Tamandua tetradactyla: one gene and its partners. The protein of the gene in region 3 interacts with the protein of the main gene of each other region in a pairwise test. Links are inferred from orthologs where the notes say so. Each region holds a gene or a part of one and is shown on either strand. Other genes may lie near its edges. The genes, in order: BFSP2, EGLN3, ATF4 and GOLGA1.

What was found.
Region 1: the proteins of ATF4 (region 3) and BFSP2 interact in binary tests that used the Homo sapiens proteins (3 or more experiments, as listed by UniProt). The link is inferred for Tamandua tetradactyla from reciprocal best matches to the Homo sapiens genes ATF4 and BFSP2.
Region 2: the proteins of ATF4 (region 3) and EGLN3 interact in a two-hybrid assay, tested with the Homo sapiens proteins (2 studies listed by BioGRID). The link is inferred for Tamandua tetradactyla from reciprocal best matches to the Homo sapiens genes ATF4 and EGLN3.
Region 4: the proteins of ATF4 (region 3) and GOLGA1 interact in binary tests that used the Homo sapiens proteins (3 or more experiments, as listed by UniProt). The two-hybrid records come from large-scale screens. The link is inferred for Tamandua tetradactyla from reciprocal best matches to the Homo sapiens genes ATF4 and GOLGA1.

Annotation. Positions count from the first base shown.
Region 1 is NC_135341.1:77,189,730-77,197,890, reverse strand, and holds the start of BFSP2 (phakinin), read right to left. Parts: upstream 3,180-8,161; coding exon 2,691-3,179; intron 1-2,690.
Region 2 is NC_135340.1:20,112,143-20,120,233, forward strand, and holds the start of EGLN3 (prolyl hydroxylase EGLN3), read left to right. Parts: upstream 1-4,864; 5' UTR 4,865-5,213; coding exon 5,214-5,570; intron 5,571-8,091. UniProt on the Homo sapiens protein: Prolyl hydroxylase that mediates hydroxylation of proline residues in target proteins, such as PKM, TELO2, ATF4 and HIF1A. Target proteins are preferentially recognized via a LXXLAP motif.
Region 3 is NC_135333.1:32,071,887-32,078,772, reverse strand, and holds ATF4 (cyclic AMP-dependent transcription factor ATF-4), read right to left. Parts: upstream 2,610-6,886; 5' UTR 2,404-2,609; intron 1,840-2,403; 5' UTR 1,748-1,839; coding exon 1,522-1,747; intron 1,423-1,521; coding exon 599-1,422; 3' UTR 522-598; downstream 1-521. UniProt on the Homo sapiens protein: Transcription factor that binds the cAMP response element (CRE) (consensus: 5'-GTGACGT[AC][AG]-3') and displays two biological functions, as regulator of metabolic and redox processes under normal cellular conditions, and as master transcription factor during integrated stress response (ISR).
Region 4 is NC_135328.1:47,074,710-47,081,972, forward strand, and holds the start of GOLGA1 (golgin subfamily A member 1), read right to left. Parts: upstream 3,170-7,263; 5' UTR 3,053-3,169; intron 3,038-3,052; exon of another isoform or gene 2,612-3,037; intron 2,270-2,611; exon of another isoform or gene 2,220-2,269; intron 1,338-2,219; 5' UTR 1,172-1,337; coding exon 1,037-1,171; intron 1-1,036. UniProt on the Homo sapiens protein: Involved in vesicular trafficking at the Golgi apparatus level. Involved in endosome-to-Golgi trafficking. Mechanistically, captures transport vesicles arriving from endosomes via the protein TBC1D23.

The DNA of each region.
Region 1 (8,161 bases), on a different chromosome or scaffold from region 3:
TTGGGTCTCCCTTCTTCAGGGATTTTGCAAGGCATGCTACCATTCAGTTAGCCCCAAGAACAGTTCTGCACAGTCGATACAATGCTCTCCAAATGATAGATGAGGAAACAGGTTCAGAGATGTTAAGTAACTGGCCCAAAGTCACCCAGCTGGTAGGTGGCAGAGCCTGCCTCCTACTTGATGCCCTTTTCACTCTCTATATTGTGCAGAGACCTGATGCTTGCCCAATTGGGCTGAGAGATGAGAACATGAGCATGCAAATAGTTAGAGGACACCGTGGCAACTGCTGCGGGGATGCAGGCACAGCCTGTCCCGGATCACAGAAGGAACAGAGGAAGTATCACAGAGAAGCAGGGGTGCTGAGGACACGCTGTGTGCTCCGGGGTCCCAGGAGGCGGTGTAGCTGTGACATGAAGTGGTGAGATCAGGCAGAGGGTTGGCTTCAGAGAGGCCCTACTGACTGATCCCAGGATCAGAAATGTGTCCCGCTGGTGATGGGGAGCCCGGGGTTGTGGGAAGGGATCTGATGTGGTTGGATCCCAGGGGCTGAAAGATGGTCCTGGTGGCTGGGTGGAGGGACCAGGACGGACAGCAGACGGTCGGCAGAGCTGTCTACGGCCCATGCTCTGGCATGGTGGGGGACGTGAGGGTGAAGGTCAGTTTTGTGATAATGAAGGAAAAAAAATCATGTATGTTTCCTAAATAAGTAGAATTAAAAAAAATTTTTTCTTTTCAGAGAAGTAGCGCTTAACCTGGGCTAAAAGCCTGGGATGTTTGATATAGAAATAACAACTCCATCTTTCTACATTAGTCTAAATGCATCTTCAAGTCCACAGTTAAAAAAAAAAAAAAAGAAAAAGAGAAGAGAACTCTGTCTTCCTATCTGGGGCCTCATTTATGGCCACCTAAGAGGGAAATGAGCCCCTTTTAGGGCTCTGATCACCAGTGGTAGGGCACAGAGGGTGTTGGCAGCCACCCCTCACTTCTGCAGCCCTGGGTGGCCCTGCTCTCCCTGCTTGCCACGGCCTCTGGGTGGCGGCCTGCTGTGGGCAGGGACCACGCACTAATTACCTACGGATCTGCTGTAATATCCTAGGCATTTCTGTACCCGTCTTACAGAAGAGGAAACAGGCCCAGAGAAGTCGAGTGGCTGCCTCCTGGAGCTGACAGGATTTCGGGCCCCAGACTGTTCTAAGGTGGCCCCCCTCACAGCCAGATGGACGCACGTGGACAGCAGCAGCAGGGCAGACAGCCTGGGAGGACGGCGTGTCCATCATGTGTGCTGGGCTGCTAGCCTGGCACTGACTGACAGAGAAGGATGTGGGAGGAGCACCTTGGGATGAAACGGGAGGCAGGAGGGGCACCGGGGAGGCCCTCTGAGCAGCTGCTCGGTGTTACACGGCAATACACGAACAAGGGTCTGTGACATCCTCCTGGGAGGTTGCGGGCTGGCCCCAGAGGGGCGGGGGCCATGTGGCAGCTCCTGGCTGGGTTAGAGGAAGACTTAGCTCAGGGACCCCAAGGCCAGCATTTGGGGGTGGGGTAGGGGGAAGCCAGCCACCCACAGGAGACCAGAGGAATTGTGCAATGCTGGCTGGAGTCCCAGCAGTAGACCACAGGCTGCAGGCAGGCATGACGGGTGAGCTTGGTGCTCTGTAGAGAATCACCCTGGAGAGTGGCAAGAGCAGGGCCTGCCTGAGTAAGCAAGCCACAAAGCTGAAGCCCCCTGTGCTGCCCCACCCATGATAGCCACTGGCCACATGTGGCTATTTAAGCTAATGAACGTTAAATAAGATAAAAAAAATTCAATTTCTCGGTTGCATTAGCCACACTTCAAGGGCTTAATCACCACGCGCAGCTAGCAGTTACAGATCAGGCAGTGCAGACATAAACCATTCTCATCATGCGCATAAAGTCCCATTCGAATGTAAAGCATCTCAATGATTTTGTTGTAGATTACATGTTGAAATGATAACATTTTTGGATATACTGAGTTAAATAAAAGAGAACATTAAAATTAATTTCACCTGTTTCTTTTCACTTCCTTTAATGTGGCTAATAGAAACTTACAAATGCCTTATGTGGCCCATATGATATTCCTATCGGACTAGGCTATTATAAATGGACACAGGAACACTTTCCATTTTCCCACAGACATTTGGTGTGGTACTGAATTTGATGGCGGCTTAAAAAAACAAAAGAAAAACAAAAACAAACCTCTCTCAACAGTAAAGACTGACAGAGACAGCAAGATCCGAGACATGAAAATTCAGCTTTGATTCTTAGTGCCACCGCCTTACCACCCCCCCCAGCCCCCGAGCCCCCCAACCCCCAGCCCCCAACCCCCCACCCCGTCAAGTTACTTAACTTCCTAGTGCTCAGTTTTTTCATCTGAAAGATGGAATCAATGATGGAGCCCCTGCACGGTGCTGTCGGGGACCATTACAGCAGACGGTGCAGGTACAGGGGCTGGCGCTACGAATCCTCAGTAAATGGGAGCCACTGTTGATTTTATTGTACGTACCGTGGGGAGAGTTTTCAGCATGAAAATATGACGGCCTTTGGCCAGTTTCCCCGGCCTCAGATCATTCATTCCCTAGCCCCTGACTCGGCCCTGGCAACGCCGGAGGACCTCGGCATCCCTCCCCCCGGCCCCCTGCAGCGCCCCTGGGTGCGGCCCCGACACTCACCTGCTGGCAGCTGGCAGCCCAGGAGGCGCGCAGGGCGCCCCAGCCTCCGGCGTGCGCGGCCTTGCTCTCCAGGTGCACGCGCAGTTGCGCCTCCAGCTCCCTGCTGACCTGCTCCAGCGCGCGCACCTTGGCGGCGTATTCCACCAGGCACTCCCCCAGGTCCTCGGCGGCGCAGTGCTTCCTCTCCAGGCCTGGAGCAGGCACCGGGGCCAGGCCCGAGCTCCGCAGGCCCTGCAGGAAGACGCTGCTGATGCCCAGGGCCCGGCGGGTCACGCGGGCACCCAGGCCACCTGAGCTCCCGGTGGGCGCCATCCCTACGCAGACCCGGGGTGCTTGTCCCAGGCCGCCCGCAACCGTAACCCTGGAGGCTGAGGGGCTCTCCAGGGAAGACAAAGACTGGGCCCCCCTGAAGGACACCCTCCGCCTCTGGAGGGGCATGCTGGAGCTGGCACCGGGGGGCACGTCCCCCGCTTCTCGCCGCTGGCTCATCGCCCCTTCTGCCTCTGTTGCGCCCTGTAGGTTTGCAGAGCGCTGGGGCTTTTGGATTCCAGCCCCAGCGTCCCTGTGGCCTGGTCACAGCCCTTTCTGGAATCTTCTCTATCCCCAGGGCCGCTTTGTCTGCTGTCTTCCACGCGTTTCCATCATTCACTGAACTGAAAGAGAAATGGGTCCTGCCTGGGACTGCATGCAGAGGCGCTTATGCATTCTTTGCAGGGTCATGTGCTGGACTGCCAGGATTTTTGTTTGCGGGTGGGGGAGGCTGGACCAGTGCCGGCTGTGGGGGTGATTCAAATGGGTCTGTAGAATCAGAGCTTGTGTGGACAGGGCTTTTTGCTTCCTGAGAGTGCAAGGTAGGCAATGGATAGCCCCATTTCACAGATGAGTAAACTGAGGTGCAGGGGCCTCACATCACAAGTGTGGTGAAGGGTTGCGCCAGGACACAGTGCAGGTGTTCAAGGCCCAATATCAGTGCATTTCTACATTCCTCCCTGTGCTGGTGTGTGTGTGTGAATGTGCACACATGTACACCCAGGTATCAGAGGATGAAATGGCTGTGAACCAGCCATGGAAGAGGCAGCCCCAGGGAGTCAGGAGAAATAAACTAAGTTCAGTTTTCCTTCACCCGCCCTCAACCCTGGCAGAAGCTGCAGGTTCCTATAGGACTTCCTTTTACCCTTTCCTTCTCATCTCTGCCCTGTAACATCCCTTCCTGGCAGTGGAGGCAGGCAGGCTTGTCTAGTGTTTGTGTGTGAGTGTGAGTCTTTTGGAGATGGGAGATGCCCTCAGAGAGGGAGCTCAGTGTGGTGGGGCCTCTGCTTGGCACTGGACAAGCTACTACACCTCTCTGGACCTTACTTCCCGCGCACTGGCCAGGGGCTCTAACTCTGTGCGCTAGATAAGGACCTCGGGAAAATTCACGTCCCACACATGCCGTGCACCTACGATGCCACAAACATCCCCTATGCTTCTCTCTCACCATCTTTCAGAAAACAGATAAAAACAACGAAGAGAGAGGTCTTCCAATAAGTTCTTGAAGGGTGCTTGAAGTTAGGATTTGATGACTCTTGGGTTTTAATTTCTACCCTCAGCATCCACTGAGGCATGTTTCAGGGTCACACCGCAATCACTTCTCCAGATCCAGAGAGGATGCCCCAGAACCAGGACCCTCAAACGTGGACCCAAAAGCCACTGCACTTAAATTGTGCTCTGAAGAAACCAGGTAACTAAAACCAGTGCTGGATATTTATTCCAGATCCTGCAATGGGAATACACCTCGAGTGAGAGAAAGGGAAGGAGCCCACTTCTCGTGAAATCACCTCCAGCCCAGGGCTGTGTGTGATTTCCACACTTTATTTCCCTGAATTCTCACTTCAACTATAGGAGATGGGCACAGGATTGACATGTACTGTCATATGGGCTGCACACTGCACAATTCTGGAAGTATCATAACACGTCCAACAATTGGCCATTATTCCCATTTTCTAATGAGGAACCCAAGAGCTTCAATGACCTGCCCAAGGTCTCATGTCCAGAGAGAGCTAGGAAAAGGCCTCTTCTGACTCCTAGTTCGGTGACTTATCTAGGACCACCTCTGTTTCTCAGCATCCAGAGAGCAATGACCCACCCAAGGTCACACAGGCAGAGTTAAAACCCCTGGTCACCTGCTAGAATAGTCTGTGTACTCTTCTTTGCTCCTGATTAGGACACCAAAACACTTCCTTTCTTTTTCTCCCTCTTTTACTTTATCTATGAGATGGCATAGGAGGTACTTTATATATATTAATGTTAGTTATTTGATTAACAGATTAAGGAACTAACTTGATCAAGTAAAGACCAGTGGTTACCCCTGTTTATTTAGATTTGACATTTTTGCTGTGAATGATACCTCTGGGGCACTCTAAAGGGGCTATGACACACGTGAGAATGTGTCATAACAACACCCTCCCAGCAGAGGTGGTAAGTACAGGGCCCCAGCATCTGCACTCTTGTTAATTCCAGGATGTATCGTGCAAGGTGAAAATGAAGGGTCCAAGCCACTGAGCAGGTTATCTGCGAATGTGTCATCTTCCAGCACTGCTGTTCGCCCCTGCATGGTAACCTGAAGCGGCCAGGACGACTTTGGGTCTCTCTGTGCTAACGATGTTGACAGTAAATCCACTGAGCCCTGGGGAGGAGAAGAATGAGGAGGGAACGCACCTTAACCTACACCGGCGTCTCAACAAACCTAAGAGACGGGATTCTCTTTCGAAGAAATGACAAACACTCTCTAAAGGATTGGTTTTATCAAATGATAAAGTTGCTAATCCTATTAGCTCATCACACTCATAAAACCCAACTTACTGTTAAATCAGATTTTAAGAAACACAGATGGACATAAGGCGGTGGTGGTAGTGCTTAAGGAACGCTTAGGAGTTATTGTAAAATGAAAGAAACGCAAAATGTATTAGCAACTTAATCCTCTGGCTAATAAAATAAGTTTATTTATATATACATGGTAGCTGAATTCTGTGGATAAGGAAAAATAAGTCATACACCCACATATGTATATATAACATATGTATCTTGGATTACATATATTATATATGGATTTCACTTTACAAACAGATTTCTCGCTCTACACGCACGCACGCACGCACATTGATATGTTAAATGCAATAGCTAACAGAAATGTTATGCTAAGGTCAAAAGGGTCAGACAGCAGCATGTTAGAAAAATGAATCTCAGAACAACATTTAATCTGCTTCTTTATGGGTTGAACAGTCTTTGAAGAAAACAGCAACCAAACCCAGGTCTAGTAAGTCATACAACACTGAGAACACACATTTTCGAGGACCATCTTTTTTTTTTTTTTCCCTTTAAATGCAAAATGTAGGAAGGAAAAAACCGTGATAAAAATACCACAGCAACGACACCAACATATGAGTCACATTCAAGTTCAATTCCCAACCGGACTATAACAACATCTATATTCAAAATATACTATCAAACTATTTTTCTTTAAGAGAAAGGAAGCATCGAAGCAGTTATCTTCTCTCCCAGCCACCATCTATTAAAAATAAACAGAAAGCAGCCCATCTCCGGAAGCCCTTCTTGTGCCTCCGGGGGTCTGAGCCCGGTCGCCTGCTGGGTGAGGGCCCAGAGGGGCCCGGCAGCAGCGGCCACAGCCCAGGGAGCCGCGTCCTGGGAAAACGCTGAGCTGGGTGGCAAGTCCATCCACTGACGCCACATGCATTTCTGTTATGCTCTAAGGATAGGATGGGTGCCTTCTCCCAAGGTGTCCAGTTCGCTTTGGCAATGTTGCTATTTAAGATCACAGGAGGAAGATTTCCAAAATCACAGACCTACCTCAAGGCTTCTTGGATAAACGTGGTCCTCGGGGGCACACCATTGCCTTTCGAGAACACGAACCAAAGCCCCAGTAAACATTTGATCCTTGACCAAGGGGAAGCTTGAAGGCTGGGCTCTCCGTCCGCGAGAGAAAGGCCATGTGTTTAACCCGGAGGTCAGTGTTGGGGGGGAAGTAGGAAGGAGCTTAGAGGGAAGACTTTTCTCCGCCAGGGCAACGGAGTCCTGTGGTGTCCGGCTGGCCTGGGAGGCCCTGTCTTACGGGGCGAAGGGGATGTGGCCTTGGGATGCCATGGCTTCCTGGTGGGTTCCTGAGGCCTGTGTGCTCTGCCTGCCATCCAGGCTCCGGGATGGAATTAAACTTGACAGCAAATGGTGCCGCTGCGAGGTCCCGGGGTACTCATCTTCCGGGGTGATGAGGTGTCCTTTCCCTGCTTCATTCACGAATCTGCCATCGTCCCCCCAGACGGCCTGGTACCCTTCATGGGTGTGCATGTGATGGGGGAGGAAACTGAGTCACAAAAACATGAATAGGAATCAGTGCTTTAAGAATCACTCAAAAGGCCACACACTTGACCATTCTAACATTCAACTTGGACTTAAGCTTCCATGGGAGGTCAGTCTATTCCTTCACCTGCCTGGGGCTCCAGGGACCCCCAAATACTCAAGAACAGTCATCAAGAGAAGCAATCAATGCAACTGCTTTGCTTAGAAATACCTTTATTTTATAAAGCCACGGATCGTTCTGTAAAGTTGTTTTTTTTTTTTTTAAACCACACTTATAAAAAAGATGTTGACACTTCTTAGGAAAAAAAAGCTGAAAATGTTGCTCATTAAGTCAGGGTTACACAAAGGTTATATTTATAATATATATATATATTTGTGTGTATCTATAATTTAGAAATGGAAAGTAGGAAATGGCAAAGCTGGAGCTGCTGTCGTTAGATCGCGGACACTTGGTTGGTTCCCACGAACAGGGTTTCTTCACAGAAGGGGTTTACGAGGACCATCCCGGTGTCTCTGTAGTCGCCGTTGGCGGGGGAGCGGGGCTCTGAGAGCTGGTCCTGGGGACAGAGAGGGAGGAGGTGGCGTGAGCTGGACGGGTTCATGAGGTGCCCTTCTTAAAGAAACATACACGTGGGACACTTGCTTTGGCAATGCAGTGGTGTGGGGCACTCTTTGCTCCTCTTTCAGAGTTTCATAGTAGCTTCTTAAAACGTCTCCTTGCCTCCTGAATTGGCCCCATGCCCCAGGTGGGCAGAACCAGGGGTGCCCAGGGCCCCAGACTCCCCTGCACACCTCCTTCCCCCAGACTTCTGGGATACCTGTCTGCTTTTCCTCCTTGGACACACCTGTACCTGCCCACCTCTCTTCCTCTCCTGTCATGCTGAGCCACTCTTCAAGAGAGAATTTCTCCCACTCCCAAACTGTACCAGAGCCCGGTCAGGATTACTTTCCCATCTCTGGTAGTACTCGATGTGCTGAGCCAAACGCATCTGAATCTGTGCGTGACTGCACCACAGGTGGGGAGTGAAAATGTCAGCCTCTCGGCACAGCTCCAAGAACAGAAAGACCTAAAAAGGGGAAACCCTCTGCTCAGGAGGTCGCCGGAATGGCCTTAGCAG
Region 2 (8,091 bases), on a different chromosome or scaffold from region 3:
ATATCCCATATTGAGCTTGACACTACTGAGCTTCTACTATCGTTGTCATGTTTCTAGCCAGAGCTTTTTAGACATTTCAGCTCAAGTGAGAGTTGGATTGGAAAATATTAATGCATATCCTTGATATGTCACATGTCCCAGAATCTGCACATGGCCAGCATAATGAAAGAGAAAATGAAAGAGGATTGAGTTTAACCATAGACTGAGAAAGAATTAAGAATTGATATTGAAACTCACTTTCCTTGCCGTCCTGTTACACCTGGAGAGGAACAGGAAGGCCTGACTCCACAGGGAAAGGGACATAATCAGATGCTTCTTTCTCTAAGCCCAATTCATACCTGTGAGCTCAAGATATACAAATTCACTTCAGGTACTCTCCTCTTATTTTTTGCCAGCTCCTTTAAAATTAACTGCATTTCCTGTGTCCTGAAGGGTAAAACTGAGAAACACAGCTGACTGAGGTGGTAGCAAATTACCAATGGCTAGTCTCAACAGACCTATACATAACTGAATTTATGTTGGATTCCTGGAAACACTGGGCCGTAATTGGTATGGAGCAAGGGAGAAACCCTAATTTGTAGTTTGGAAAATAACTCCTAATGTAGTCAACTAAATAATTTATGGTAAGTTTTGCTTATCTACCTATGGACCCAACATCAGTAAGGAAACTGATAATTAAAGTTGTCACTGCAGGTTAAAGCGTTCCAGCAAAGAGTTATAACAAAAAGATGACTTAATGGCAAAATCATTTCTATTCCAAGCAAGCAGTTCAAACTGATATTTTCCTTCCTGAGCTCAGTATATTGGAATCTCTCAAAATTTTTCCAGCGTTGTTATAAACTCACTTACTGTGTGACCTTGGACAAATTCCATATCTCTGTTCCTCATTTTTGTCATTTTCACAATGGGGAATAATAGTATCTATTTCTTTGTGTTGACATAAGAATGAATCAAGGTAATATTTGTAAAGTTTTTATTGAAGTGCCTGGAATATTCTAAGTATTACAAAAGTGTTGGATAAATAAATAAAATAGCCTTTGGCTACCTTAAGTCATTCAATATAATAATAAATTTCTTGATGATATATGGGCAAAAACACAAAAAAAGAATATTTAGGGGCTAGTTAGGAGGGAAGGAACTTCAGGCACAACAGAATTTTGAAGGAACGAAACAAATTAGACACTTTTTCATAAATAAGAAAGGATGTGATGGAAAATTCATACAGTACTTGTGCATGTAAATTATAAAATGTAGTGTAAAATGGTTCAGCCACTATGGAAAACAGTTTGGCAGTTCCTTAGAAAGTTAAACACAGAATTTACCATATGATTTGGCAATTCCACTCCTAGGTACATACCCTAAAAAACTGAGAACAGGGACTTAACAAAGTGTTGTTTGCAAATTCATAGCAGCACTGTTCACAACAGTCAAAAGGTGGAAACAGCCCCAGAGTCCATCTGTCAGAAGGGGTAAACAAATTGTTGCATATGCATACAATGGAATGTTATTCAGCCGTAAGAAAGGAATGAAGAACTGATACATGGTACAAGGTGGCTTACCCTCCAAGTGAAAGAAGCCAGATGCAAAAGCTCATTCATTGTATGATTCCATATATATGACATATCTAGCATAGGTCAATCCATAGAGACAGAAAACACATCGGTGGTTGTCAGGGGCTGGTAGGAGGGGGCAATTGGGATTAACTGCTTGATGGTACAGAGTTTCTTTTGGGGTGATGAAGATGTTTTGGAACTAGATAGAGGTGGTGGTTGCACAATGGTGTGAATGCAATAAATGCCACCAAATTAGTCATGTTAGAAATGTGAGTTTTACCTCATTAACAAATAAATAACATTAAAAAAAATTAAAAAGAGGTGAGTTGGATCGCTTTGTTAACTGCAAAGACAGAAGCATCCCAAGCTTCCTCTTCCATTCACAAGAAACATCTTACTTAGAAAAGTAGCTTAATGTCCAGCCCCTCTGGGCCATGGCTTTCTATATGAAAGTGAAGCTGGACTGGGTGACCCCTAAGATCTCTTCAAGTTTGAATTCCAAGGTAAAGAAATTCAACAACCCTCCTCACCCACATGCTTGAAAATTCTTGCATCTGTATGGCAGATGCTCACTGGAAGACAACGTTGTTGTAATTAAATTACAGGGAAATGAATTTGTTTTAGTTATCAATATGAAAAAGTATTTTAATATTCATTACTATAATGACTCAAATTAATGAGCAAAGTCACAAAAACAAATGCACTTCAAAAATTAGCTTGAGATTTGTCACTCTGATGCTCAGTTACAGAGCCTGTGTGTGGCTCCAGCCTGTCTGCTCCCCTCTGTGTAATCACACACTGTGATTTCTGCCAGTCTCTGTATCTCTGTCTTCTCTGCCAAATGCAGTATGGGCAGCCCCAAGCTGAAGGAGATTCTTGATTAATAGGTGCCCTTGCCAAGCAGGAGTGGTGCCAACAGAAATGAATTCTTCTATAAACTGCTCACACTTTGCAATCAGAGTACTCTAGAGCAGTTTTAAGGCCACCAAACAGTCACTACAACTTGCTTAGAATTATTGTTACAATGTGGATGAACTATATAGCAAAGGGCTAGTTAAAGATTTTCTCCCCTTCCTCTTGTGACAACTTTACTCTGAAATTATTCAAATATTATTTGAATAGTAAGCCAAATTTACCTAATCTTGGGATTTTAGAGTGGGGTCAACATGTTCATTCTAGGTGGCAGGTTTATAATTTTCTGTATTTTACTTTTTTCTGGTGTTCTATAAATTCCCTCCTAATTATTCCTAGTACCATCAGGTATATTTATAAAGGACCTTCAGCTAGAAAAAATTCAACCAGCTATCAAAGGTATCTGCCATTTTCCCCACTTTTAATTCTGGCCCTCTTCAGGAATAGCTACTTCTGAGGTACACACAGTCTCCCAAACTGCCAGATCCACAAGCCTCTGCCTACCAGGACCTACAATCAGGCTGCCTCCCAACTAGGTGTCCCCTGGTCATCCCATTATCTATAATGCCCCAGATTACTGGGATTCCTGGCTATGTGAGGTTCAGGCAGAAGGACCTTCCTTCCTTTTGGTATTGCATATCCATTTCACTCCTTGCTGCACATGGGCTGTTCCTCCAGCTTTCACTTTAGGTTTCTGGCTTCCAGCATGGGCATCCACCACGGTTGGCTGGGGAGACAAATCTAAGAGACAAAAATCCTGTATAACACCTAACTGACCCTCTCCACAGGCCTCTGAGGTTTGGTTTGGGACCTGGCTGATCGGCCTGCCACTTCCGTCCAGTCAATACTCTGGAAGGCTCTTCAGTTCCGCATGCAAGCAGCTTCCTTCAGCAGGCTCCCACACAGGCCCAGACACGTCTGAACCACACATGGCAGTGGCCATAGCTCAGGGTCAGCCCCCAGTTTCCCAGTAATTATTTTTTTAGGCACCTACTATGTGCCCGGATTTGGGGATCCAAGGATGATGATTTCTGGCCATCACAGACCTGCTATGGGAATCTGGAGGACAAGTCCTTGAGTGCTGGCCGGTTCAGGCCTTTACCCCAGGGGAAAGGTGCCAACTAATTACCAAAGGTAGGGAACCTCCTCTCAGTATAACTAGAAATTTTACCAAAGTTTCTTAAACGCTCCAACATTGACGTCTCCCAGCACCCATGTGCCTCTGTCAGCTTTTTTCCCCATCATATAGTAACAATGTCCCTTTCTTATTCTACTTCTTGTTCTGGGTCTAGACTTCACTTAGTTTGTATCTCTACATTTCTCTCTTCAGACATAGAAAGGGAAGGGCTGTTAAAGGAGAAGAGAAGTGAAAAAGCTGTAGTAGATTGTGTATGAAATAAATGTACTTGTAAGACCTGTATATTCTTTTGTGCAACTTAAATGAAGAATTAGAGTGCAAACAAATGGGAAAATTATAAAATAGGCAACAGATATGCATGCAATTTATGAAACTTCCTTTCTTGATTCTGATCTCTGCTGTTTGATTTGGTAGGAAAGACCAGTAATTCATAAAGCAATCAGCTGACCTTTGAATACTTAAAAGTTTCACCCCTTCTGGGTGATGCGGTCACTTGCTGGGAAAAGTGAGAGGATGGATCCAGAATAGTTTTATCTTTTTGAGGGCATACCTATACTGAGCATCTGATTAATTTGGAAGGTAAAATTTCAGAACATCATCTTTTCGTTGGAAGTTTGAAAGGTAAATGTCTGAGAACATCCAGAAAAACAGAACATTTGCAGGGTTCGATCAGATATGGCCCAGAAAGTATTTCTTCACTGTGCACATTCCCGCTCTTTGAGAACATAGGGACTTGCACGTAGTAGGAGTTAGGAAAATGTTTGCTAAGGTGCTAATTTTAGTTAGCACTGTTTTGCTTCCAATCCTCTCAGGGGTTTGAAGCCCCTGACCAGGGTCACACCGCAGGGGAAAGGGGAAAGGGGAATAATAAAAGCACGAGGTAAAGCTAGAATGAGACGACGGCTTGACATATCTAATTTGTTGCTGGGTTTAATATTTTTGTTCAAAAGCCTGTGAGGTGAGCAGCCCAGATTGTGGCAACATTAATTGTCTATGCCGTTAATTTCATCGACACTTTCAGATTTTCGACACTTCAGATTTTCGAGTTTGTCATGGGGGTTTATGCAAAAGCACATGCAAATCGATAGCGTTTGGAAACTTCCCTCTGTGCTCCAGCCCCCCTCGGTGTGACAAACAACCCAGGCTGGCGCCGAGCTCGCGGAGAGCCTCCGCGGAGGGGGCAGGGCAGGGAGGGAAGGGGCGGGGACGACGGGCGGGAGTAGGGGTTGTCCCGGAGGCGGGACAGCTCAGGAGTAGGACCTCAGCCTCTAGCTGCCTCTCGCCGCCGCCGCCGCGTCCGCGGTGGCCTCGCATCTCTGCTAAAAGGGGCTCTCCGACTTCTCTCCAGGCCAGTCCAGGGCTGAGTCCTGCAGGTCGGCGCTGCGCCGTGGAGCCCTGCACTGCTCCCGCTGGGCCTTGGACCGGATCCCTTCGCCCCAGAGTTGCGCACAACTTTCCTTCTCTCCGGGCTGCGGTGGCTCGGGGACCGTGGCCGCCGCAGGTAGTTGAACCCCTAGTCAACGCACCCCGCGCCTCTTCTCCGCGCACGCTTAGCTCGTTCGCTGCCGGAGTGCACAGTGGGGGCCCCCGACCTCGGTTCTGCGGACGAGATGCCCTTGGGACACATCATGAGGCTGGATCTGGAAAAAATCGCCCTGGAGTACATCGTGCCCTACTTGCACGAGGTCGGCTTCTGCTACCTGGACAACTTCCTGGGCGAAGTGGTGGGCGACTGCGTCCTGGAGCGCGTCAAGCAGCTGCACTGCAACGGGGTCCTCCGGGACGGCCAGCTGGCGGGACCGCGCGCTGGAGTCTCCAAGCGGCACCTGCGGGGCGACCAGATCACGTGGATCGGGGGCAACGAGGAGGGGTGCGAGGCCATCAGCTTTCTCCTGTCCCTCATTGACAGGCTGGTCCTGTACTGCGGGCGCCGGCTGGGCAAATACTACGTCAAGGAGAGGTCTAAGGTAGGACGCACGCGGGCACCGGCGCCCCGCTGCTGCTGCCACCCGCAGGGATTGGGAGCGTTCGGGAGGCAGTTGTCTGCCGCCTTCGCAGGGTTGCAAGTTTTTAATCAAGAAGTCAGTTTTGTCTCCTGGCACCTCTGAGCCAGAGTCGCTGGTAAGGGGCTCAGGTGTTTAATTTTAATGGTCTTCTGTTGACTTTGAAATAATGGCTCCAGTGAGTGCTAAAAGCTAAACAAGCCGTGGCTTTTGGTCTGATTTTAAGAGACTTCCGTTCTCCGAGATCCAAACGAAGGAAAGGATATTAGAAACACTGTGTGTGATCTGAGGCACACGTGTACTCATTAGCTTAAATGCCTGCTTTAAACTCATCCAGGATGCCCCTTCATTGTGTTCAGAAGGGGTTCCTACAAAAGCACTCAAAGAGTTCTGGAGAGAGCTGTGATTTTGCAACGTGGCAATTGGTTTGTGGAGTGTGTGGCAGGTGTGGAAAGAGTTTGGCTTGTGAAAGGGTAAAACACCTCCATTATAAAGTGAAAGGTCCCTTCTTCATTCTGAGGGCTGCTACCCTTGACTGGTTGGACCCAGCACATTATTAAACCATCCACTTGGTTGTGAACATGTGTCCAACATTCGCCACTGTCAACTGATGGCAAAATCCACTCAAAACAACCGGTTACGTGATCAGGAGAGAGTAATCAAGAAATGATGGAAAGAAATGATTTCTTTGCTCACATAGCCAGAAGTGGCTCCCTGAGTGGTAATTTTATCTTGTTGACGTTTACTGGGAGATTGGCAGAAGTAAGGGAACATGTAGGTACCATGATGTTGTTGCACTTAGATTACTTTGGGATGGTCAAGACAGGCTGCCTTTCTTCAAATGATAGACCAGCCATTTTTCCAGTGACAGTGCTGTGATTTGCACTTCTTTTATGGCGGACTCTGAAGTATAGGAAAGTTTTATTCAAACAGTCAAATAAAGCATACCAGCAGTGACCCATTCCTTAAAAACATCTGCATTTCTCGATTCAAGATTGATCCTGTGATAAAACCAACCATTGTAATCTCATTTTCCCATAAGGTGAAAGATTGGGGTGGGTGAATGGAGCAGGGGACAAGTAGGTTGTTATATTCCTTTCAAGCCTGGAGGGCAGGAACAGGGTTTCTGAAAAGCATCATAAATAATCAAATCAAGTAAATATTAGAAGAAAATTCTGCTTTCTAGATTTTACTTTGATTTGAGGGAAATTCAGTTAGCTGAATTCTGTAGAAGATTGCTATTACAGTGTTTCTTTGCTCTTCCATCTTTCTTGTGGTGGATTAGAAAGTCGTTTGTCTTGATTAGCTTTGATTTTGTACTGTGACCTTGCCTGTCTCCTGGGATGGGAGAACTGGGTGGGGCGGGGTGGTGGGGAGGGTTACTCAGCAATGCAAAGTTGCATGGAACTTCAACCTGGAATAACAAATGGCTTATCTGTTTTTTGTGTTTTTTTTTAAGGTTCTTTGCAATTTAGAGTTAGGAAATTTCCCCCCAGGATACTAGGAACAGAATCTGCTCCAAGGGAAGTCAGAATTAATTGCTAGAAAGAGGTCACAAACATTTGAAAGTTAAATTTTATTCTTTTGCTTTGACTTAATGGATGAGGGTGGGGTTTCAGGCTACACTTTAACTTGACGAATTGAATGACAAGTATTGTGTACCTCAAAGTGAGGGGGAAAAAAAATCTCTAGATATGATTCTTCAGGAGTGGTTTATCTTCTGGGTGGAACAAGTAACTTTGCAGATAACTTTCAGAAGGAGATTGTAAATTAAAATGAGAAGGTTCATTTTGTTCACTGAAGAGTTGGGTTTAAGCACCATCTGTCCAGACCCAGATGTCCCGCTTTCCTTTGGCTGTTTAAAAATCTTCATTCCTGTCCTTCAGAAAATTCACCTCTACATTGGTATATTCATTTCCTGGCCCCTTAGAACCAAACGCAAATCAGGCTTGAGCTAAAAATGATAGTCAACATTTTTAAAAGCCTGATATGCTTATATACAGAAGTCTCCTAAGCAAGGTCTAGCACTTGGGTCTCTTGTTTGAAACTCATTTTTAAAGCATTGTAGAAATGCACACATTCCATTTCCATTTGATTTATATTAGTTTCACCTTCATTTCATCTTTGTTCACTTCTCTTCCCTCAGTGGTATCCATTATTCTGAGCTACTTCCTAAAGTAATGATACGAACTTAGTTTCCTGCTCTCTCTTCAATCAGGTTTTCAGTAAAAAGTAAAATTTTAAAAGGCAGAATTTGCACATTTATTTTAAAAATGCATTTGTAACTTTTTTTTTATTAATTAACGGAAAAAAAGAAATTAACCCAACATTTAGAAATCATACCATTCTACGCATTTGTAACTTTTTATTGTGAAAAATTGTCAGGCATACACAAATGTCGAGAGGTTAGTATAAAAAATTTCCATCACCCTGTTTCAACATTTGCCATTATATGCATTTATCTTAGACCGATTTTTAAAGTTAC
Region 3 (6,886 bases):
GTGGAACGAAGGATGCTCCTCCCAGTCATCCTACAGGACTAGCAGTAGCTTACCATTCAAGGGATACCCCACCCTCGTTCCTGGAAGAACACCCAGCCAACTGCCAAAGTTCTGAGTACACACTTCTACTCATAACTGGCGGCCCAATGCAAGCCACCTGTTTATACCACCAGGCCATATCAAATCACACCAATAGGAAAACACCCCTAGTAACACAAGGTAGGTTAAAAAGCCATCTCCAGGGAAGCTTTAACAATGGATGGTGACATCACTGAATTGCCTGACTGGATAAAGTGGTAGATTTTTGGTTAAGAAAACTTTAGTATCATCCAACCCTAAACCGCTTTAACGGATGGATCTTAGTACAATCTGAAATATCTTACACAAGGTTAAACATTGCTGGGGAAAGAGTATGGTAGGTATATGGGAATTCTGCTTTCTGCATTTTTTGGCAAACCTACAATTGTTCTAATTTTGAAATGTAGTTCCAAGATTTATTCAGAGGCAAAGAAATCAGATACTTTCACTACAAAATAATTTATTACAACACATTCATAGCAAGCCTATGTACAAGCAAACACACTCTGGACTACAAAACCTAGGGGACCCTTTTCTTCCCTCTTGCCTTGCGGACCTCTTCTATCAGATCCTTCAGATACTGGATCTCCTTTGCCAAGGAATCCGCCCTCTCTTTCAGAGCCTCATTCTTCTTTTCCAGCTCTTTACACTCTCCAGTGAGGGCCTCCTGCTCTGCCCTCTTTTTCTGGCGGTACCTAGTGGCTGCTGTCTTGTTCTGCTCCATTTTTTTCAACTTCTTGTCCAATTTCTCTCCCTTTACTTTTGCTGCTACCACTTTCTCCCCAGGAGGGTCATAAGGTTTGGGGCGGGTTGAGCCACAAAGAGTACCTGGAGATGGCAGGCTCCCATTTGGAGAGCCCCTGGAGGTAGAGGGGCTATGCTTGGGAGAGGCCAGATAGGGCTCAGGGCTCATACAAATGCCACTATCGTTATCTGAGGGGGAATCCTCCTCCTTTATGCACTGAGGGATCACTGTAACATAAACAGAGTCCACTTTCCTCTCTCCTTCAGAGATGTCCACCTCACTGCCTAGTTCTAAACTAAAGGAATGATCTGGAGTGGATGACAGGGCCCCAAGAGAATGGGAAAAAGGTTGGAGGAACGTGAAGGGGGCAACATGGTTAGTTTTTGGTAAACTTTCTGAGAGATGGCCAATTGGGTTCTCTGTCTGGGAGGGCTCCTTATCCTGGACTAGGGGGTCAAAGAGATCACAGGTGTCATCCAATGTGGCCAAAAGCTCTTCGGGCATGGTTTCTAGGTCACCTAAACTGAAGAGGGCGTCAAAATCAAACTCCTTCAGATCCATTTTCTCCACCATCCAATCTGTCCCGGAGAAGGCATCCTCTGCAAAAGATGAGAGTAAGAATTGCAAGACAGCCATCCTCTATCACCAGAACCCCTGATAAGTGGACCCACACTGACAGATAAAGGACTTCTACTCACCCTTGCCGATGTCTGGGCCACTGACCAACCCATCCACAGCCAGCCACTCGGAGGAGCCCGTCTTAGCCTTGTCGCCGGAGAACCCATGCGGTTTGAAGTGCTTGGCCACCTCCAGGTAGTCATCTAAGAGACCCAGGCTTTCTTCAGCCCCCAAACCCGACTGGTCGAAGGGGGACATCAAGTGCCCCGCCAACACCTCGCTGCTCAGGAAGCTCCTCTCGGTCATGTTGCCGGGTTTTGCTGAACTCGGGGAATGTGCTTAATTCGTAGGTGTCTTTGTCGGTTACAGCAATGCTGCTGCTGAATGCCGTGAAAAGCCTGGGTAGGAATCCGAAACAAAGCACCATTGGAGACGACCTTGACTGAGAATTTCATCTTTCTATTCGTGAGGAACGGTGGCCAAATTGGAAAATCACTGAGCTGTCCTCTTAGAATGGGGGCCATGGCGTTCCAGGGTCAACCTTTCCCGCTTCCGGTGTTAGGAAACACAAAATGGAGGCCCACGGAGACTCGGCTATTCCCTCACCGGCCACCGAGAGAAGGCGCTCCAGCCGCACGTCCAAATACGGCCAGAGCGGCCGGGGCCCCGCCCCGCTCCCGCCCTGCCCGCCGCCATCTTGGCCCCCGCCACGTTTCGCGGAACACAGGGTGGGACCCTCGACGCGCTGAGGGGGCGGCAAGCCGAAGAGCGTCTGCCCTCGAACCCGTGCGCTGCTGTCGCGACTGAGGGGCGTCTCGGGGACACTAAATAGAGACCACGCGCCTCGGGCGCGCTCGTAAAACCGCTTCCCCCTCCGCGACGCTGCCCTGGCTGTAAGGCCACGTCCAAGTCCCTCCGAACCAGGGACGAGAGGAGCCCGAACAGCCGGGCCCCGTACTTACGCCATGGCTTAAGCCGCTGGGGGTTGCCGCTGCAGAGCCTGGTGCTGCTGCCGCTGCTGCAAAAGCCAATGCTGCCGCAGGCACTGCTGCCTCTAATACGCCATGGCGGCTTCGGACCCTGCGGGAGGGGAGGTGGGGAAGCCCGGGGCACTAGCTGATGTCAACATATATGGACAGAGGCGAAATGGCGGAGGCGCGCGCAGCGTGGGTCCTTTATAGACTTTACCTCGACAGTCACATCACAGAACGCATCCTTCCGCCGCCGTCACGTGACCGTCATTACCAGCCCCTCGTTTTCGCCTGTGTGACACACTTATCGGTTCCAGCCCACGGCCTTGATGTCTGAGGTATAACTAGGATGAGAAAATGAGTTATTTTAAAGACCTCACGAAATGAGAAAAAGCGCACTCCTTTACGAGGCCTCTAAGATCAAAGAGTCCACCCTTCCCCCTCCCCCGCCGCCGGTGAGCGCGGAAGGATCCGCCAACACAGTGTAAATTCGGTAGGAGGGGAGAGAAAAGCCCTTCGTAGGAAGGCCGATGTCACCTGGTTGTCGCGCGAGACGGTAGCTAGGGCGCGCGTCGAGTTGATTGGCCCAGGCATGGTGAGTCATATATATCTCCTACTTCGATTGGCTCAAGTCCTAGGTGGGCGGATTACTCGTTTAGGAGCGTCTGATATGCGCGGGAAGGGGCGGGGCGGCCAGCATGTTTCCCTCCGCTCAGCTGCGCTACCCACTTACTTTTCTCGGAATTCTGGCCAGACCGCGCAGATTTCCTGCCTTGGGCAGCTCGATCCCAGTGCGGTACGAAGTTCCTTCCTGCCGACTTCCGCGAGGCGCCGAAGCGGCAATCGGGTCCATGTCTGAGTCGAGCTTTCTGTCCCCGGATTCCCCCACCCCCTCCGCCCGTCTTGTGCTCCTTCTTCTGTACAGATTAGGCAGAGTTCAAACCTGGAACGGCCCTCGGAAGTTACCCGGCCCGGAAATTACTTCGTTTTACAAAGCGATCCCGTAGCGGGTGCCGACTCAGTCTATCAGGGACACCATTAAATAGCTAATAAAAAATTGCCCCCGAGAAGGCTTGGGAGTCAAGTGTATTAATATAGGAAAAAGTGAACGGCAAACTTATACTAAAAATGCTTTGGGGCACTAACACGAAGTTAGAGAAGTTGAGTAGAACGTGGGCATGCTGAATAATCCACCGACTTCAGTAAAAACAAGAAAACCCAGCTTTTTCTTGCTGTGCAGGTTCTCCTGGCCGGCCAGAGAGCCGCTCCTTGTGAATTCTCTTTAGGCCAACGAGGGAGGGCTTAAGACAAAACTAAGCAAAAAAGGGAAGCCACTTAATGTGTGTATTCACCCCATGAGATCTCTTAAAAGTTGAACGGGGAAACTGGATGGACACTCATTTTGGGTCCTCATCTTGGTAGGTCACCTGATCCATGCCTGCCTCTCTCAAAGGCCACCTCCAGTAAAGTCGAATAAGATGCACAATCCTATAGCCTAACTTGCACTTTTACGTTATCCATTCTGCTAAAGTAAGTTTCCTATTAAGGCATGCAGTTTTTCATAAGGGAACTTTTTTTGGATTTTATAGATTAAATTCTCCTAACAAAGGATTTTATTCGACTGGCATCTTGTAGACTCTTGAATTACTTTCAACTAATTCCCAGGCATAGCCAACTTCCCAACACATCACTAATGGCCCTGTGAAAAGCTCCAGGACCCACATACACTTACTGGTGTTTGGCGTTTCTGGAACCTGCAGTGTGAAACCTCGCTGCAGGGCCCGGGGAGGGGCAGGAGGCAGCAAAAGATTCGTTTCCTCCCCCATCTCAATGAGCCAATCAAGGATCATTGTTTTGAGGGCTGTGATGTTGAGGAACTTGGGAAGTACTGTCCTAGAGAACTACCGATCATTTGTTGACTGCATTCACTCTAGCCCAGTTCTTTCACAATGGCAAACAGGCCTAATGGGATGAGGCGTGTTGCCCAGTCAATAGTTTCCACTAGAGGCAGCATAGGATAGGGACTAGAAGACAGATTTGGGGGGCCAAACCTGAAAGAATCCTGGCCTCACCATTTATTAGCTGGGAGATTTTGGCTAAGTGACTCACTTCTTTGATCCTGCTTCCGCATCTGTAAAATGGGGCTAATGGAGGTATACTTCTAAGGATGAAATGAGATCATATATGGAAAGCACTCAGCAGTGTTTGGTACATGGTAAATGCCCAATAAAAGGTTGCTATTATTACTATTATGACTCAGATTTTCTGACCCGGACTTCCCAATCTCCCCCCCTCCCCCCCACCCATACACACACACACAAAATCTTTTACATCATCCTCCTTCCTGAGGGAACTCTGCTAATCTTTACTGGCAAATGAAGCCAGAAATTATGAAACATCAAATACACACAAGGCATACTGTATGCTGAGATAGAAGTGTGGCATTTTCCTTCCTCCTAGGGAATCACAAGTTTTGGAACATACATAAGTTGTCTAGTGTCCTGGGTACAAAATATTAAATTGTCTTGTGTTCTAGTCTTTTACAAGGTGTCCTGGGGGCCCACGGGGCATGGCCTTTTTGCTACAGCAGTGCTGACAGATGACCATGCAGATAGTTGAGAATTAAGAACAGTATTTAACACTGCCCCAGTTTTGATACTGAAGAGGTAATGGAAGAATGACTCCTGTGGCAGCTTGTCCCTTCCATTTTATTCTGGTAACCAAGATTAAATACTTCAAAGGTTCTCCAAGCTGAAAATGGAGACCCAGTACCATTCCCATAGGAAAATGTCTCATACCACGCACAAAAGTCAAAGTTGTTGGAGATTTTTATTTTCTTCTCCCCACTCTGTGGAAGGACATCATGTTCCCCAGCTTTATTTCCTCCCTCAAGGAGGAAAAAAAATAGCAATTCTCTAGGTCTCTGGGTTAAGATGCTCCTATATTGTCCTAGCCAAGACAGGACAGACTGACGACTGATTCCACATCAACTGCCACTGAAGGACAGCCATGTGACAAGGCAAGTTGTGGATTCAACCTCTGAGACCAAGAATTTAAAGATTACAAGGTGATCAAGATGAAAAGGTAGATAATAACCTGTAGGCTGTTAACCCCAAAACCCACATGTCTGGTATTTTGGTCACTTAGTCACCAGTATCTCAAAGGGCTACAGCCTCACAGCCTGGTGCAGGGTCAGCACTAACCTCAGTGCCTCTTACTCTTCTTCTTGACCTTTAACTTTAGGTAGGAAGGGCAGAACTCTAATCCTCCAAGAGCAGAAGTTCACAGCCAGGGTCAGAGACCCAAGTAATGAATAACTTAGCAGAGGGCTCCTGACACATGCAGTGATCCCTACTTACACAGTCTCTCTTGGAGAGGCCCTGATCCTGAATCTGATTCCTCGAAAAATTTTGAGCTCTTACCTTGAGTGGAATACAAAGGAGCAAAATCATCTCATTTAGACTGGCAGGGGCAAGTCCAAGACACTGTAGGCCTCTTCAGTGCAACTTTTCCAAACATGAGCTTTAACTTTTTTTTTTTTAAGTCACAACCGATCATATAAAGAAGAATACTGCTGTCTGAATTCTTATTTTAGGAAGGGGTGACAGAAAAGCAAAGCAAAAAAAAAAAAAACCAAACCTTTAGAGATTATTAGGGTTTTCAGGATAATGGGTGTATTATTTTTTAACCATTAGGCTGAGTATATGGTTTGCTAACCTAAATGGTGCAAAAAAACCCAATCTTCTCCAAACAGAGTAGGAACAGATACTATAACTTCAGGAAAAGGTGGGAGTTATGGAATAAAAAGGCAGGGTGGAGGGGAAATCCACTGCATCTGCATTCTAATTCTACAAATTAGAATGTTATCCCCTTCCATTCAAAAAATCTCAAATCACTTAATTATTTTCCACATTTTATGATAAATATGGCAGCCAAGAGAGTGGCTTGCCTAGTCAGAGGCAGCAAACTCTCTAGGACCTACGCTGAGAATTCCCACTGCTGGTTCCAATTCTGAGGACTTCTAAGAGGTTCTTACTGGTATTATGGCAAAATGATGGTTTTTGGTTTTGTGACATAGTTAAGAGATGCTCTTAGAAGTTCTTTAACAGAGGCAGTAAACTCATTTCCCCTGTGTATTTGGCTTTGATTTGGTCGTGATTTTTTTTTTTAATGTATTTGTTTTTTTTTAAGCTCTCCTTCTAGTGTCTTATATGAAGCTTGATCAGAAACACCAGCTTGGGAGAACTGTAAATTTATAATACTCACCAGAGCAGGGAAACCAAAACCTTTACCTTGATGAAGAAAAATCCCTGCTTTTCAACACTCTATCAAGTCCTCCCTTTCCTCTTCCTTCTCAGGGACACCAGATAGGTGTATGAGAATTATCAGCGACTGGGCCCCAACCCCTGCCACTATTCAAACTTTCCAGGGTAGCACACAGCCATATGTATGTATTTTTTAACTCTATTTGATT
Region 4 (7,263 bases), on a different chromosome or scaffold from region 3:
CACAAAAACCTAATTGCTCTTGCCATGTAATCTGACCTGGGATTCAGTTGATAAAAGAAAGGAGGAGGAAAATTCATTTGATCATGGAACCAACTCAAATGTCTGATAAACTGTGGTCTTTTCAAATGCTATAATCTTAAAGGAAGCAACATTTGAGACACATGTTCAGTTAAAAAAAAAAAGCAACTCCAAGAAGACTACCTATGATATAATGCTCTTATAAAGTTCAAAAATTAGCAGCACTAAGCAATAAATTGTTAAAAAGGAAGTGAATAATACACACAAACTTTAGGATAGTGGTTATCCACAGAGATGGGAAGGAGAGAATGAATTAAGAAAGAACATACAGTAGCTTCAAGAGTATTGATAATGTTCTATTTCTTCAGATGGGTGAAGATTAACAGGACTTCATTTAATTTTTATGCTTTATACTCTATATATACATTGTATACATTCTTTTATATTTATCAGGCATTTTTTTAAGTCATCTGATTTAAGAGGATCCCGCCACATGCCAAACACACTTTAATCCTTAGGCATGACAGTTCCCTAATACAGCAGCCTCCTCATTTTCTGGAATCTCTCCAACCACAAGGGTACTTTAAAAATAAGAGACACGTGGTCATCCATGACATCTTTGACAAATTTCTATCTACTTTCCCAATAAGACAGTACACGCTGGCTAACCTCATACCACAACTCATAGACCTAGTTAAGTAGGGAGAAAACAAGTCCAGGCATTTTGAAAGATTAAATGTAAAAGAAGATGCACAAAGCATATTGATGGAAAAGAACTATAAGAGGACAGCGTAGAGAATGTGGAAAGGGACTCACAGAAAAATAAGAAAATGATATAGAAAGGCACCCCAGAGAAAGAAAAAGCACATGTGAAGGTCTTGTTCAGCTATAAACTACAAAAGCTATGAAATAATCATGCAATTTAAAAAGAAAATATTTCAAAAATTTCCTGCAATATTATTTAAACATTAAATTGAGAGGGCACCAAATACTCAAAACTACCAGGGAAGATACTTACAAAGTCATCTCCTGAGTCAGCTCCCAGAGAGGCAACAGATTCCTTGCTCACCGACCGGGGGATCCTAGTAGCACCTCCTGGTCTCTGAGCAACAGCACTCTCTTCTGCGATTTTCTTTTTTAGTTTTGCAAACATCTTTGCTATGTGGATATTCTGCACTATAGACTGGCTCTTGAACCACCAAATAGTCCTTAAGGCCAACAACCAGGATTCAGTGACAGGTGCCTAAAAAGTTCCAGACATCGGAGCCAGCTGCATTCCCATTTAAATGTGTGTAAAAGGGCTTATGGCAATACAGTATCTAGAAATCAGATGAAAGAGACAACTCTAAGTTAAACATTGGAAAGATTTCAACCTCTGAAATCTGTTTCATATTTATGTTAACCTTCAGGTTTCAAAATTTAGTCTCATAACTTCACATGTACTCTTAATAGACCACAAATACTAAACATTTAAAAAAGCACTCTGGTACTTCATATGCATACAAAGATACGGAAATCCAGTCTTAGAGAGATGAAGTAATCCACCCAAGATCATGTAGCTAAGTGGCAGAGCTGGTATCTGAATCCAGGTCTTTCTGACTTACAAGTCCCTATTCTTTTTTTTTTTTTAAATAATTATTATTATTGAAAATAATAATAAAATGGCATGTTGGCTATAGCATACAGCTATAGCATTTATAGAATTTCCCACGATAAACATAGCATCACATAACGCTTTTAAATCCTTCCCTCAATAAAACTAATTTGTTTAATTACACTTTGGTGCCTTTTTTAAAAGATGAGAATAAAAATATATGTAACTCAATATGGGGAAAAGCCTCTGTAACAGAGGCTAACAACCTAGAAAAAAGCATGGTCGATTTTGCATAGGTATCAGAAATCCCTAAACTTTTCTTGGAAATGTTGAGTGGTGCTCTTTTGAGTTTGATGAAATTAACCCAAATCACACTTTTCTTTTCTTCAGAATGTTTGAAATAATATTTAACATCAGATTAATGCATCTTTTCCTCCCACTGATGTATAAAACACTACTATTCTTGCTTCAATCTTAATTTTTCATGAAGGTTGTCTAGGTTCTGCTCTAAGATCTACAAATGATTTTTCACCCCTTTAGATCATCCACTTAAGTCTGTGCAATTTTTCAAAACTTGACCTTCAATGTCTGTAAACCACCTACTCACCTAGCTTATCTACTAGATTTAAAACAGCCTGGAAGTCAAAGCATTCTGTCCTGCGTGAAAACAAAGACAAAATACGTTGGATATTTCCTTTCAAGTGTGAGGCCTCAGTATTTGGGGATGGTGGGAAGAGGGAGAGTGGGTTAAGGGGGAAAAAATCCTGTCATTACCACCTTCAGTAGTCTAACCTCCCTTACCCTAGTCTCTTTGCATTTTTAATTTTCTTAAAAGCTACACTTATGGTACAAAGAATCTCTCACTGCAGTAGGTCCCTAAATTCACTTCTCGTTGGGAGCCCTGAGCAAAACAACTTGAAAGAGATTAAGGTTTCCCAGCTGATTCTGACAGTCATACATCATTTACCTGGCCAGACCCTGGGATATATGGTCACTGACCTTTGACTCGCACTAAGAAAGCCGCTGAAAAAAATGGCAAACTTGGGTAAACCAAATGCCCAGAGAGGCAGGCAGGTAGGTACCTGACCAGGGCCACCCGTAGCAGTTTGAATCACACTCCTTCACTCTCTGGAAACCCGCCAGGGTTTGGGGCTGTCAAACAAGGCTGGGGCCCAAAGCCTCTTCCTTTTGACAGCAGGGAAACTGAGGCCCAGAGAGGCGGAGTGACTTGTCCAAGGTCGCGCAGGGAGAATCCTGGATCCCGAGGCTCTGGACGCCCAGGCCGAGGCAGCCCGCCGACACCACCCTCGCCCTTTCAGCACCCTGGTAAGGCCCCCTGCCCAGGGTCTCGGGCACCCCGTCCGGACCGCTCTGGCGGCAAACCGAGGCCACAGGGCAAAAGAGGGGCCTGCTCGGTACCCGGAGCCCCCGCCTGCGCACCTGCCACTGTTGGGGCAGCCGACAAAGCCCCGCCTCCCGGGCCTCTCTTGAGCGCGGGACCGCGTCACCAGCCCCCACAGCCAGCCGGCCGGCCGAGCAGCGACCCGGAACCGCACCTCCACCAGAACACCGGAAGTCGTTGCTCGCGCATGCGCTCGTGCACTTACTCCGGGGCCTTGGGTGCGAACTTTCAAGCGACGGTTGGGCCGGAACGGCCGGACTATGCAGGTTTGGTATCTGACGCTGCTTACAGCCTGCAAGCGACGTCAGCGAGCTGTGGGGTACACAGATTACGATTGTTGCCGAGTAATTTCTTCCCTTCTTTTTATTTGAAAGTTGTGCGGAGCGAGGAAAGTATGAGGGTCTCGTGGTAAAAGGGAAAGAATTTCACTGGTGTGGTAGGGCTAAAGTCGGCTGTGCTGGATAGAAATCCGGGGCAACAGGGAGCTTCCATTCCATTCCTCTTCGCGCATCCCAGTCCACTGCATCTCACATGTCTGCCTTGTCACTAGGTAGTACATAATCACCGACTGTCTGTGCCTCCTTCTTCTGGAGCCTTTGCTCCAGAAACTAGTAGTGGGAACTTGCGCCTTGTACTAGTGTTTTAACTTGTGTGCTTCTGACCTACTATAGGTTGTACATTTTATATGGCAACCCGGAACACACATAGTGTATACCTTTATTATGTAATGCACTGATACACTATTAAAAAGAGAAGTGGATGAGAGTCCACTTCATTAATTTTATTATCCACTTAATTGTTCGAAGTTACACTGCAAACTAGTAGCGGACGTGAGATCTGACTCCTCAGTGCCACGCCAAGCATTACAAGTTAATAGACATCTTGTTCTTGCGTGAGACCTAAAGCCAGTCCGAGGGTCAGCAGCTTCCACCTCTGGCCTCTGCTTGTTCATTTCTGAGCACTAGAAGCAGGACAGGGAAAAATCAAGACCAGGACTCAGAAGAAATTTACAAACTAGAATAATAAGCATCTAATCCACAACCCTAAGATAGTTCAAAGCATCTCAAGTATTGTCTGAAAGAAGCACACCATAACAGGTAAGTGTCTAAGTCGTCAACAATACTGAAGTACCAAAAATTTAAGCAAAACTGTTTATTTTTATGTTGATGATACACTTATATATGTGGATTCAAGATACAAAATTCATTTACAACAGTTCACATCTGATGAATGTAGTCACATTCCAAGAGAACATTTATCAATGCAAAAATGACTTCAATACACTGACAACAAAAATCAAATGTTGTATAATTTGTTATTCATTAAACCTCAAAACAATTTTTAACTTTCCATCCTCTAATATAAAGCGCCCTTGAGGTGGCAGGCACTATACAACAGAAGAAAACATTGGAAAGACAAGGGCCTACTGAATCTGCTCTGCAGAAACAGTGTTGACTCTGAAATTCATTTAGTAGTTACTGAAAGGCTGCTGTCCTTTGTTACATATCACATATCATACAAAAGTTGAAACTGATGAGCTCCAGAAAACAAAATGATTCAATAACTTCTCAATATCTAAAACCTATTAAGAATTAACCATAACAAAGCAGAAAAAGGCTACTGTAAAGGAACAAAACAGGAAACATCCTTGTTTAAGAGTATGTACGGTTTAAGCAAATTAGAAACAGGAGACAAGATTTTACAATACCACAAATGTTCAAGTCAAATGCTATTGCCAATATAATTTCCCCTTTAGTCAACAGTAGTAAATAGCTCCTTCAAAGTTTATCCTACTGATTAATAACATGTATAAAAATGACTGAATCCAAATGGTTTGCTGTCTAACAGAGCTGAGTTGATGGATTTTGTTCTAAAGTATTAACCCACAGTGTTCAAATTTTAATACAAATGAGCAACAAGGTAATGTCAAGGTAATATTACAGTGATTGGCAAGAGCTGGATCTAAACAACCAAGCTTCATTATTTGCACTACAGATTAGCAGCACTTGGATAAGAACTGTTAAGAGAAAATGATTGTGCTTCAGTCTCTTGAGGAGAACTAATGTAACTCTATAATCCTTAAAGTATTACATCTCAGTTACAGACAAGCACAATTTTTAAAAAAGTATTTCACACCACCAGAAAATCAAGGAACTATATCCTCCAAATGTAATTTCTGCTATGATTTAAACAAGTGCATTTCTGCCTGATATCCACAAGGTACAAATGGGTTGCCATTATTTTCAAGGAAAAAGAGTTCAAGCATAACTTATTTTAACTCCTATTGATTATCCTAACCTTTGGTGATGATTTGTATAAAGCAAAACAGTACTCAACCTTACGGTGAAAATGGCTCAGAGATAATAGTAATGTGGCCTGAAATTAAAATAATCAGTGCAAAATACAAAATGACTTAAATTGCATCATGTGATTCACTGATTAATGAAACCACTGTCTACACTGATGCTACATAATGAATATAACTTATTTAAATAAATTCCTTCACTGATAAGCTGTATTATGAAAATGTTAGGACACTGCATCTGCCTTTCCTATTATCTAACACCTGTCTACCTCATCTGGAAGAATCCTCAAAAATATAGGACTCTGATTGTTGAATAGAAAAGTTTATTTCAAAACAAAAAGCATTTGGAGAACTAACCATATGGTCTATGTGGCAAAAGGAATGCATCCAGATAACTATAAAAAACCATGAAAATCAAGTTCTAAAATATTTTACTGATCATTAGAAGTTCTTTTAAATGATGTTATAATAAAGAATCAAGAGTAAAAACCAACTTATTCTTCAAGAAATAGTAATAAAAATTCTTATTGCCCTAAAACATTTTAAACATTTTTCCCTGAAGATTTTTAATACATCACAATACATACTTCTAATTTAGAAAAAAATTAATAATGTGCAAAAGAGGATGGGATTCTTTTAAAATACAGTGGTCATTCCTCTATGTTTTGGAATTATTTACTTTGGGTTCATATACGATCATTTCACATTTTACAATGGTTGATCATACTGATTTGATGTTTGAGGAAATTTATGGTTCAAGTTATAATGTTTACAAATCTCAATTTTCAGCTGTGAACAAATAGACATTCATAAGAGCTTCAAAACAGGATATTTAAGTAAAAAGACAAAATGTTAAAGTTTACTGAAGTTCTGTGGAAAGGCTAGCCTTAATTCCTTATCTTACTCAGAAATTGAAACAATCAGTTTATCAACTTTTATTCTGTAAGACTACCTGAAAAGAAAAAAATTTTTTTTTAAATCTGACCCCTGAAATAACTTATGTTATGTCTCAATAAACAATTAGCCATACCTAAAAGGATGACTGTCTTAGGATATAGACGGCTATTGTTCATTTAAAATAGGAAAAATACTCCCAATTTATAGTCAATTCTAGCACCAAATTCAGGTTTAACTAAGTGGATCTGGAGTGTATACTTAATACAGTGTACTTCAAACTATTTAAAAGTCCTGAATCTACTGTTTGACTTTGTTAAAACTTGCACTACTTAGAGTAGTTTGATAACTAACTTTAAAAGCACAGAAGAAAATAAAAATATTATAAAATTAAGAAATGGATGTTTAAATCAAGTTAAGTAACAATGTTTTGTAGAAATGGAAGTCTTCTTAAAAATCAATATTACACAAAACTAGTAAGTGAAAAATGCCTATTTTAACGAAAAAAAAATTTCATGTCTACAGCTATGGCAACAACAGATTAAGTTATACTTAATATTATCCCCCTACATCATTCTGATACTCTTCTCTTCTAGGTGACTGATTTCAGTCACACATCAATGATCTTTTCATAAACACAAGACATGCTTAAATAGATCTCTGTGTTCAAAACTTAATGAGGCTAGGATATGGTGTAATATTATGTTTTACAATTCTGGTTTTGGAGAAGATGAATTGTTTGAAAAAAAATGCAAAATGCACATAGTATTCAGGAAAACTGGGAAGCCCAGCAAAATAAATATAAATATCAATGTATAAGTATACAGGAGATATAATAAAGGAGGGAAAGTCTTGATTTTCTAATTCTTATCTCATCTGACTACAAAGTAACTGGCTTTACAAATGCTAGGGTTGGAGATCATATTCACAATGTTAGCCTTATCTACTGAACTTTTTTACTGCTGCCACTCTCCTGAAATTAATGTGCACACTGATGCTAAGTCAATTTAATTAATTTTTAATAGCATAACATATCCTCTGTTACTCTCT